Cricetulus griseus: one gene and its partner. The protein of the gene in region 2 purifies or fractionates together with the protein of the main gene of each other region. This does not show direct contact. Links are inferred from orthologs where the notes say so. Each region holds a gene or a part of one and is shown on either strand. Other genes may lie near its edges.

Region 1 (4,840 bases), on a different chromosome or scaffold from region 2:
GTTGGACATTGGTAGTGTTTAATTTTTCAGTATTAGGGAAAGAAATATTGCTTGAAACATTTTTTTTAATCAGTGTTGCCTTATTTATTCTTTTTGATCATATCCTTGGAATGTAATCCTTAAAGTTAAATTACTAAGTCAAAGTGCATAAAAAATTTAAATAGGTTTGTTATATATTGGCAGATAGTTTTCCAGAAAAACATTGCCCCAGTGTGAATTACCGTCCACAGTAGATGGGTGTGCGTATTTCCATTATAGCTTCTGACATAACAGGGGCTACAATAAGAAAATATTTCAACTGTTTTACATTATTAAATTTAGACTATTTTACATGATTAAATTTTTATGTTTAACATTAGTTTTTGGAAATTATTTGTTCACTCACTAGGCACCTCTTAGTGAAAATGTTAGAATAAAATGAAGTTTGAATTAGACCTCACAAGACTAGAATTCTCTCCTTTAGCCTACTTAGCTGCAAACTGATGACTTAGAGGGGGAAATGCTCCAGATTGGTCTTGTTTAAATTATCTTTAAGGAAAAAGCTTTTATTTGGGGGGGGCATATAGATTTTTTTTTCTATTCAGGGCTTGGCTTGAATTAAAAAAGGGTGTCTAAGGAAACAGGACATATTGGCACATCAATGTCACCTATTCAGTCTTGTTCTAGCCCCATAACTAATGACACTGCCAGAAGTCATGGGACATTTCCAATAGACCATGAGGTCTTCAATACTGTCTTTCCTGATGACTCCTGACTTCCCAGAGGCACCTGATGAACAGTTATTAATTAAAAGAAAGCAAATAAGGCTGGAAAGATACGTATCCAGTAACGTGCTTATGCAGTCATGAGGATCTGAGTTCCAGGGCATGGTGACACATGCTCGCAATAATCTTAGCTCTGGGAAAGGAGACAGAAAGAGATCCTTAGGGTTTGATGGCCAGCCAGTCTAACTTTGTTGGAGCACTGCAGGCCAGTGAACAGTGACTCTGTCACAGGTAGACAAGTGTCTTCATGAATGCCTGATGCCCAAAGAAACCAAAGGACATCAGAACCCTGGGGATTGGGATTACAGACAGTTGTGAGCTGCCAGGTGGGGGCTAAGAATTGAACCTGGGTCCTCTGGAAGAGTAGCCAGTGCTCTTAACCACCGAGCCATGTCATCAGCCCCTCTCAAAAGAGTGGGATTTAGAGAACCTTATAATGCATGGATTTCTGACTATTTTGGTCTCTGGTGCAGATGTGTGAGATGCCAGTGAACACACCAGAAAACCCTTGGAAGGTGAGTCCCAAAGAAGAGAGAGAGCGGAAGGACCTGAGGAACACCCACCTTGTGTTCAGCATCGACCCCAAGGGCTGTGAAGATGTGGATGACACGCTCTCAGTCAGAACCTTGAATAACGGCAACCTGGAGCTCGGGGTCCATATCGCCGATGTCACACACTTTGTGGCCCCCAACTCTTACATTGACATCGAAGCTAGAACGAGGTAACCCTATTGGATGTCAGCAGTGGTGTGCGTGTTTATATCTGTGCTGTTTTCAGATGGTCAAGATCTCCTGTTTGGGCAGTTCTGAAAATCTCTTCTGGATTTTCCTGAAGTCCCCCACTTCAGGAAAACAGTACCTTGACCAATGTGTGTCCTTTCTTAACCTTTTACCCATCACTTTCTCTTATCTTAAAAATGAGTGGATTTTCACATGTAATACGGTATTCTATACCTCCCATTTTTCTCATACAACCAAGATTCATGTCACTTTTACTTTCTACATCAGTGGAAGAAATATTCAGCCAAAGCAGTGTGACTTGGTCAAGTGGGCACATGGGAGCTATTTAATTAGACAGCCGCTGACTTTATGGGAGCAGTAGCCCCCGGGGAATCTAACCCCGGTCTTGGCTGTTTACCTCCTGCAGCCCACACTGTCAGCAGTTCTGCTGGCTGCTGAAGGTCAGTTACCCCACTTGTGTCATTCCAGGGCCACCACTTACTATCTAGCGGATCGCCGCTATGACATGCTGCCCTCCATCCTCAGCGCAGATCTCTGCTCCCTCCTGGGAGGCGTTGACAGGTGAGTCTGATTTTCACCTTCAGGGCTGCCGCTGCCCTCCTGCTCTGTTTCTTCCAGTGTGCTCTCCCTACCACTCCACACCCCTACCGCTGCTTTCCTGGCTCCTCCCTCTGCTCCCTGCTTACTTCTTCCCTTCCACATATGGTTTCAGGGACCTTTCTTTTTCCAGCCTCCTCCTTTCCTTCTGTTCTGATGTTAGATTTCTGAAGTAGGCCACAGGCTGAGGAAAATGCACTACACTCTCTAGCAGATGCTGCTCTTTAGAAGGCACTTGAGCTTAGGGAGTTTGTGTTTTATCAGTGAATGCACAATTAGATAGTCCAAAATTAGTAAGTTCCCAAAGATAGAATTATTCCTATTATTTTCTCCTCAGGTACTGATTTTGGGAATATTTTCTATAGTTAAAACACATAAATATGGATGTGTAATTTTTCATTTTTATTTTCTAAGATTTTTTCTTTATTATATATAGTGTTCTGCCTGCATGTATGCCCGAACGCCTGAAGAGGGCACCAGATCTCATTGTAGATGGTTGTGAGCCACAACGTGGTTGCTGGGAATTAAACTCTGGAAGAGAGTAGCCAGTGACCTCTGAGCCATCAGTCCAGTACCCCATAATTTTTATTTTTATGAAAATACTAGCATACCGCCGGGCATTGGTGGTGCACACCTCAATCCCAGCTCTCAGGAGTCAGAGGCAGGAGGATCTCTGTGAGCTGAGGCCAGCCTGGTCTACAGAGCAAGTGCCAGGATAGGCTCCAAAGCTACACAGAGAAACCCTGTCTTGAAAAAACAAAACAAAAAAAGAGCAGATTTCCATTCTAGGAGTATTGTCCTTCCTGAGCAGAGTGCTTCTGTTTCTAACAAATATAGCCAGGCGATGGTGGTACACACCTTTAATCCCAGCACTCGGGAGGCAGAGGCAGGCAGAGCTCTGTGAGGCAGGCTCCAAAGCTACACAGAGAAAGCCTGTCTCAGAAAGAAAGAAAGAAAGAAAAAAAGAAAAGAAAGAAAGAAAGAAAGAATATATATATATGTGTGTGTGTGTATTATAAATGTAGAAGAGAATATGTGTGTGTGTGTGTGTGTGTGTGTGTGTGTGTGTGTGCTGTTAATATATAATTTATACACACATGCTATTCAGCACTTAAAATTTCACTTTTCCTTCTTTTTTTTTTTTTTTGAGACAAGGTGTCAGACATCCAATTCTCAAATGCAAGCCAAGGGTGACCTTCTGATTCTCCTGCCTCTCCCTATGCCCTAACCAACATGCCTGTCTTTTTCAGGGTTGGTAATCCAGCCCAGAACTTCATACAAGCTAAGCAAAGCACTCTAGCAACTGAGCTACATCCATAACCCTTCAGTACCTTTTTAAAAATGTTAATTTATTTTATTTGTGTCTTTAGTGTTATGTGGCATCTATGTATGTGCACCATGTATGTCTATAGTGCTTGCCGAAGCCAGAAGAGGACAACAGATCCCCTAGAACTGAAGTTACACACAGTTGAGAGCCACCATGTCAGTTCTGGGGACTGAACGTAGGTCCTCTGGAAGAGGCAGCGTTCTTAACACTGAGACATGAGACACCTTGCCATCGCTAGTACTCTCTCTAGGTACTTAAATATATCTGAAGGAGAAATTCCTAGAAACAGAGCTTATGTCAAGGTGCATGCATTTGTGTTTAGATCTATACAATCAGATTGTCCTCCAGAGACATTAAAGCAATCTGTTTCCACAGCAGTAGATGCAAGAGCTTGTTTTCCCACAGCCTAACCCATATACTATGTTGTATCCTTTCATCTAAGTCAGTTTGTTAAATAAGTAGTATCTTGATTTTAATTTGTATTTTTCTACTATGTGTGAAGGTAAACCTTTTTTTGGTTAAAGAATATTTATGTATTCTTTCCTGTGAACTACTTCATATTCCTTATTCATTTTCATTTGGGTTTATGATTTATTATTGGTTCATAAAAACTCTTTACATATTGGGGAAATCAGCCCCTTTGCATATATTATAAATATATAGATTTTTTAATAAAATGCTTTGGTGGCAGAGTAGTTCTTTGCTAATGAGCTTTTTGCTAATTAACCTATCATCAAGATTGATACCAAGCTCCCTGTCATCCTGTAGGATTTAAAGGCTTTCCTTTAATTTCCTGGGGCACTAAACAGACTTAATTCAATCAGTGTCAAGCTATTCTAATCAAAATGGAGAACTCTAAGGTTTTTCATATTGTGTGGGAACTCATTTCAGAGTTTAGCAGAACCCAGTCTGACTTTGTTGTTTACACAGGATCTCACTATGTATCCTTGGCTGGCCTAGAACTCACTATGTAGACCAGGCTGGCCTCAGACTCAGATCCACCTGCCTCTGCCTCCTGTGTGCTGGTATCAAAGGCGTGTGCCACCACCACCCAGCTGACTTTGTTTTTAATGTTAAAGTAAGTGTGTGTGTGTGTGTGTGTGTGTGTGTGTGCGCGCGCGCGCCTGTGTCTGTGTGTGTGTCTTAGAGTAATTAGTTTAAAAAATGAACCTGTAGTATGTAGCAAGGTCATTTCTTTCAAATTAGATTCAAGATCAAGTTCTGCTTGCTTGTAAAGTAGAATGGAAGAGGCTGAGGAGATGGCTAAGAGCATTGGCCACTCTTCCAGACAACTCCAACAGCCCAGGTTTGATTCCCAGCATCTGCATGACAGTTCATTCACAGCTGCCTATAATTCCAGTTCCAGGGAATCTGACACCCTCTTCTGGCTTCCTTGGTAGCAGGCGCACATC
Region 2 (4,840 bases):
TGGATATACCCTGGAAAGTCTTAAACCTTGTCTCATGGACCTTCACCAGACCTACCTCAGAGCAGCACAGCATGCTCAACAGTCAATAAGGGAAAAGTACAAACATTCAAAGTAAGAATCAGATTCTCATTCATTTAAAGGGTATGGTAATCTGCCACAGCTGCCTCAGTAAGGTAAATGTGTTAGGAAGCTATTGTACCTGGCATTTCCCCCTTTCATCTGGTAGGGTATGGGTAAGGTAACACACGTTTTGAGTCTAATCAAATAGAAATAGCATTTCCCTAGGCTGGGGCATATAAACTGTTCTGTGATCTCCCCAATGAATATTTACTAAAAAAAAATTTTTTTTCTGCTCAACAGATACCATGGTGTTTCTCTTCTCAACCCACCAGAGACACTAAATGTGTAAGAATGAAAGACTACCTTTGTTTAAAATGGGAGTTCACAATGTACAGTTTTGTCTTGGGTTTTAATCTCACAAATCATTTCACAATGTAGATGGTATAGCCACGGACAAATTATGGTATCCATTGCTTTTTAAATGGTTTTAATTTGTATATCTTTTGTACATGTGTCTATCTTAGATATTTGGCTAATTTTAATTGGTTTGTTAACATTTGGTGCTGCCAACTGTCAGGATAATAAGAATAAATTGATTTGGAAATCTTTGCAAGTCAAAGTTAATTTGAGATAAAAATAAGACTGATAATGTCACTTAGAAAGGCTAACTTGGTTTATTGTTCAGTGGGGGTAGAAAAAGCTTCCTAAAACTGAAATATTTCAGGGAAACTGATCTTCAAATTCTGACATTGGTTATTCTAAGCAACTGAACCAATTGCTGACTTGGTCATAAAATAAGCAAAAACTAGATTCTTCAGTGTAGCAGAGACTCCCCAGACTCATTCAGTTCTACTTTTACAAATAAGATTTTACATGGATTAGGAAGATTTTGTGCAACAGAAAAGTTGTACAGAAAGTTTATTCAAAGCATAATGTTACAGACAAAACAATTTATGAAACAGTTCAGCTCTTATAATGGATTTTCAAATAAAAAAATACCCAGTGCTGTTAAAGCACTGAATAAATATCCTTTTAGTAGTTTTATATATATATACACACAAAAATATCATTTTAGCTTTAATTAGCAGTTCTCTTCTTTTTCCTCCTTTTCACTTGACTTTTACTTGGTGCCTTTTCTTTTGCATTGGTGGTCTGAGCTCTGCGAAAATAAAGTAATACCACAACTCAGTGTATGTCCACTGAATCCTGGACTGGATCGCTGGAACTTTAAAGGCAAAGGCATCCTGTTTTACAGACATAAGTCCTATTTTTATGTATATTTGAAAGTAACCAGAAATCTGTTACCTTATTTTCTTTGGGTTCTTGTCTGGTTCCAAAATGATCATTTCTTCTTCTTCGCTATCTGACAGCACTATAGGGGCACCTTGGAGAAAATACCGAAAGTAAAAGTAACTACTTATTAGTATCATTAGTCTGAATGCTCCCATTTCCATGCACACACAGCTCAAGCTCTGCTGCCTGGAGGCAGCATATACAACATACTCTTTCCAAAAATTTTGTAAAAAATACATGTTTTTTGTAGTTTTTGTTTTTGTTTTTTTTTTTTTTAAGAGGACTCACGTAGGCCAGGACGGTCTAGTTTATTACTACCAGGGCTAACCATGAAAAATGTAGAGAACTTTTGTTTGCCCATTTTTGTCTTGAATATTAATTATATATATATATATGTAAATAAAGCATGCAAATTAATCATTTGCCTATTTTGGCTGTGTATTCTTGTCTCAGCATTCTTTATTCACATGCTTTAGAAAAACTCTACCATCATCATCCTTGTTATCTTAGCTGTTCATGAGCCTTACTAAATCTTAGGCAAATAGATATATACACAAGTGTAAAGACACTAGCCAGTGATAGTGAGGTAACAGCATTATTGATGGTTAAGACAACTGGATACAATGAATGGTATAAAACTCACCCATTAACCTAATTAAACCAACATTGTTCCCCTGTCAAAACAAAAACCAAGTCTATAAGCAATGATTCTCTTTCATGAAGACAAGTAGAATATGCATTAGTTCAGAGTGCATACTTCTCTGGTAAAGAACCTGAGTTCAGTTGCCAGCACCTACATATGGCAGGTCGCAACTTCCTGGAACTCCAGCAAGTTCTCTGACATCTATATGCATACCCTGGCACACATTTCTTTTTATGGCTTTTGGACCACAGCAAGTTAGACCTTCAAGGGACTTCTAACCTAAAGATAGTCACTGCTACCAATGTGGCCAATTTTGTGTGCATCTGTGTAAGTATACATGTGTGCTGGTCTCCACAGACCAAAAGATGTGTTGGTTCCCTTGGAGCTGGAATACAGAGGGTTGTGAACCATCCAGTGTGAGTACTGGGATCCAAACTCTGGCCCACATCATGAGCTTTTTGTTGTTTGAGTCAACCTACACAAAGTAGCTTGCAGGAGTGAGATCTTAAGGAAAACCCTTCAGTGCCATGGATATATTCTTGTTTTTCTGAGACAAGATCTCTAGTTTTTGGTGTCCCAAAACTCTCTATGTAGAACAAATATCCTCCTGCCTGTGTCTTCCCCAGTGCTGAGATTAAAGGTGTATGTCACACCTAGCCAGATGTAATTTTTTTAATTGTTTAAAAATATCACTATTATCGACAGGCAGTGGTGGCACATGCCTTTAATCCCAGCACTCAGGAGGCAGAGAGGCAAGTGGATCTCTGAGTTGACACCAGCATGGTCTAGTTCTAGGACAGGCTCCAAAGCTCCATGGAGAAACCCTGTCTTGGAAAAATATATAAATCACTATCACGCCAAAGCATACCACTAAATCCCCAAAATAGCCTTCCAAGACAGGAAATTTCCCTATATATGATCTACAAACTCCATACAGATACCTCTTTACATATATACAAGTTTTATCTATAGTTTGTATCTATAACTTATATATAGTTTATGTCTGTAGCTGTCTCTATAGTACACATTAAAAGCCAAAAGCATCACCTACCTTGATTTCCAATATCAGAAACTCCTCCAGTGTCCATCTTTGTATCATCAAGAATAACAGCTTCATCAATGCCACCTTCCTCCTCTTCCTTCTCAGAATCTTCAAGGTCACCCCAGGAGTTTTCTATTCCATCTCCAATCTGAGCAGTTCCAGGAGTCCACAGCACAGGTTTAGAAACACTTAACAAGTTAAGAAAACTGAATATCCATCCAAAACACTGCTATCTCATGAGCTATTTTCTTTTAAGACTGCTTCATATATTCCACAAATTCTTAGGAATAAAAATAAAATATACTACAGATGGATAACATAATTGGACATCACCAATAATCAACCTCATAGTAATTTGGTAATGAATGATTTCAAGATAATGTAATACCATGTAAGGATCTTTGCCATGCTATCAGTATTGAAGTAGTTTCTGAAAGGGAAATGAATGCTGGAATTTTGTATTTTCTCACAGTACTGGAATGGAACCCAGTGCCTTATACACAGCTAGAAAAGTGCAATACCAATGAGCTACATCCCCCAGCTCGAAGTTGGTTCTTAAGATAGAAAAATGTATGTTTTTTAACTGAGAGAAGCTAGAAGTATGATTTCCCCCAAAACAAATTTCAATATGCACATTATAGCCTTGATAAAAACAAACAAAAAAAATGTTATACATCTTGTTGCTATAAAGAGCCACCCAATAAAGATACACTTCTGGAGGAGGTTCAGCTTCAGCAATAATTTCTTCTGCTTTCTCCTCTATGTTGGAGGTATCAACAGAGGCCTTCTCCATTTTAAATGCTGTGATCCTTTGATTTGCTATAGACTCTGCAAAGCCAAACTTTCCACCTTCTTTCCTGTAGGTGGGTTTTTGTAATGGTATTTGGAGATGACAGTAAGAAAAGAGAGAAAAAAATTACTATTTTGGCTTTGGTAGATAAGAAACAGACTTGCTTAACTTCAGTTGTTCTCATTAGCTTTAACGGTAAACTTGACACAGCCCAAAGTCACTTGAGAAAGGAGGCCCTAATCAGACCAGACTAGCCTATCTGTGGAGGAGTTAATTGTTAATTGATGAACCAAGGGCTCAGCCTTCTATGAAGGGCACCATTCCCTGGGCAGGTGGTCCTGTCCATATCAGAAATGTAGTTAAGCATGAGCCTGTGAGCCAGCAATCAGCCTTCCTCTGGTTTCTGCTGTACTCCCTCAGCTCTGAGTTAGTTCCCTGATTACAGGTATATGAACTATCAAGGAGGCCTACCTGCCTCCAGGTTCCTGGTGAATGTGATCTAGAAGTACAAGCCAAATAAATCCTTTCCTCCCTTAAGTTGCTTTTGGTGTGTGTTTTTATCACAGCACCAGAAATCAAACTAGGATATACTACCATAGTTATCAAGACAGATGTCACCATAATTACTGAACCTCTGCTGCATATGTGATAGGTACCTGAAGTACATTCCTTAAGCTTCAAGTCTGCTATCAAGACAGACGGCACCAGCCTCCACAGGACAAGTTAAGTACACTGAAGTACTAGATACTTATTGCTGGAGGTAACAAGAAGAGGAGCTATGAACCAGCCTTTTTATTCCTTCTATTAATTTGAGTTATTAGGTTCTTTTTTATAAGAACATGTTAACTTTTAAAGAAAACACTTCTATGACTTTTTAAAATAAAATCTCAACTAAGTACTAGTATATACAACTGAGATTAGCTAAGTAAAGACCAAGTATGAAACTATATGGCTGCTCTTGTGTGAAAAAGCCCTACTATATACACAACTGAGATTAACTAAGTAAAGACAA

What was found. Proteins that work in one complex are often made in the same cells at the same time.
Region 1: the proteins of Exosc9 (region 2) and Dis3l purify together in Homo sapiens (affinity purification with mass spectrometry; 3 studies listed by BioGRID and IntAct, with this or other methods). This does not show direct contact. The link is inferred for Cricetulus griseus from reciprocal best matches to the Homo sapiens genes EXOSC9 and DIS3L.

Annotation. Positions count from the first base shown.
Region 1 is NC_048597.1:175,928,947-175,933,786, reverse strand, and holds part of Dis3l (DIS3-like exonuclease 1), read left to right. Parts: intron 1-1,237; coding exon 1,238-1,485; intron 1,486-1,972; coding exon 1,973-2,065; intron 2,066-4,840. UniProt on the Homo sapiens protein: Catalytic component of the RNA exosome complex which has 3'->5' exoribonuclease activity and participates in a multitude of cellular RNA processing and degradation events.
Region 2 is NW_023276806.1:113,103,227-113,108,066, forward strand, and holds the end of Exosc9 (exosome complex component RRP45), read right to left. Parts: intron 3,896-4,840; coding exon 3,749-3,895; intron 3,227-3,748; coding exon 3,048-3,226; intron 1,771-3,047; exon of another isoform or gene 1,445-1,770; coding exon 1,366-1,444; exon of another isoform or gene 1,220-1,365; coding exon 1,138-1,219; 3' UTR 963-1,137; downstream 1-962. Other genes in the region: Ccna2 (cyclin-A2), read left to right, coding at 1-111, 361-409. UniProt on the Homo sapiens protein: Non-catalytic component of the RNA exosome complex which has 3'->5' exoribonuclease activity and participates in a multitude of cellular RNA processing and degradation events.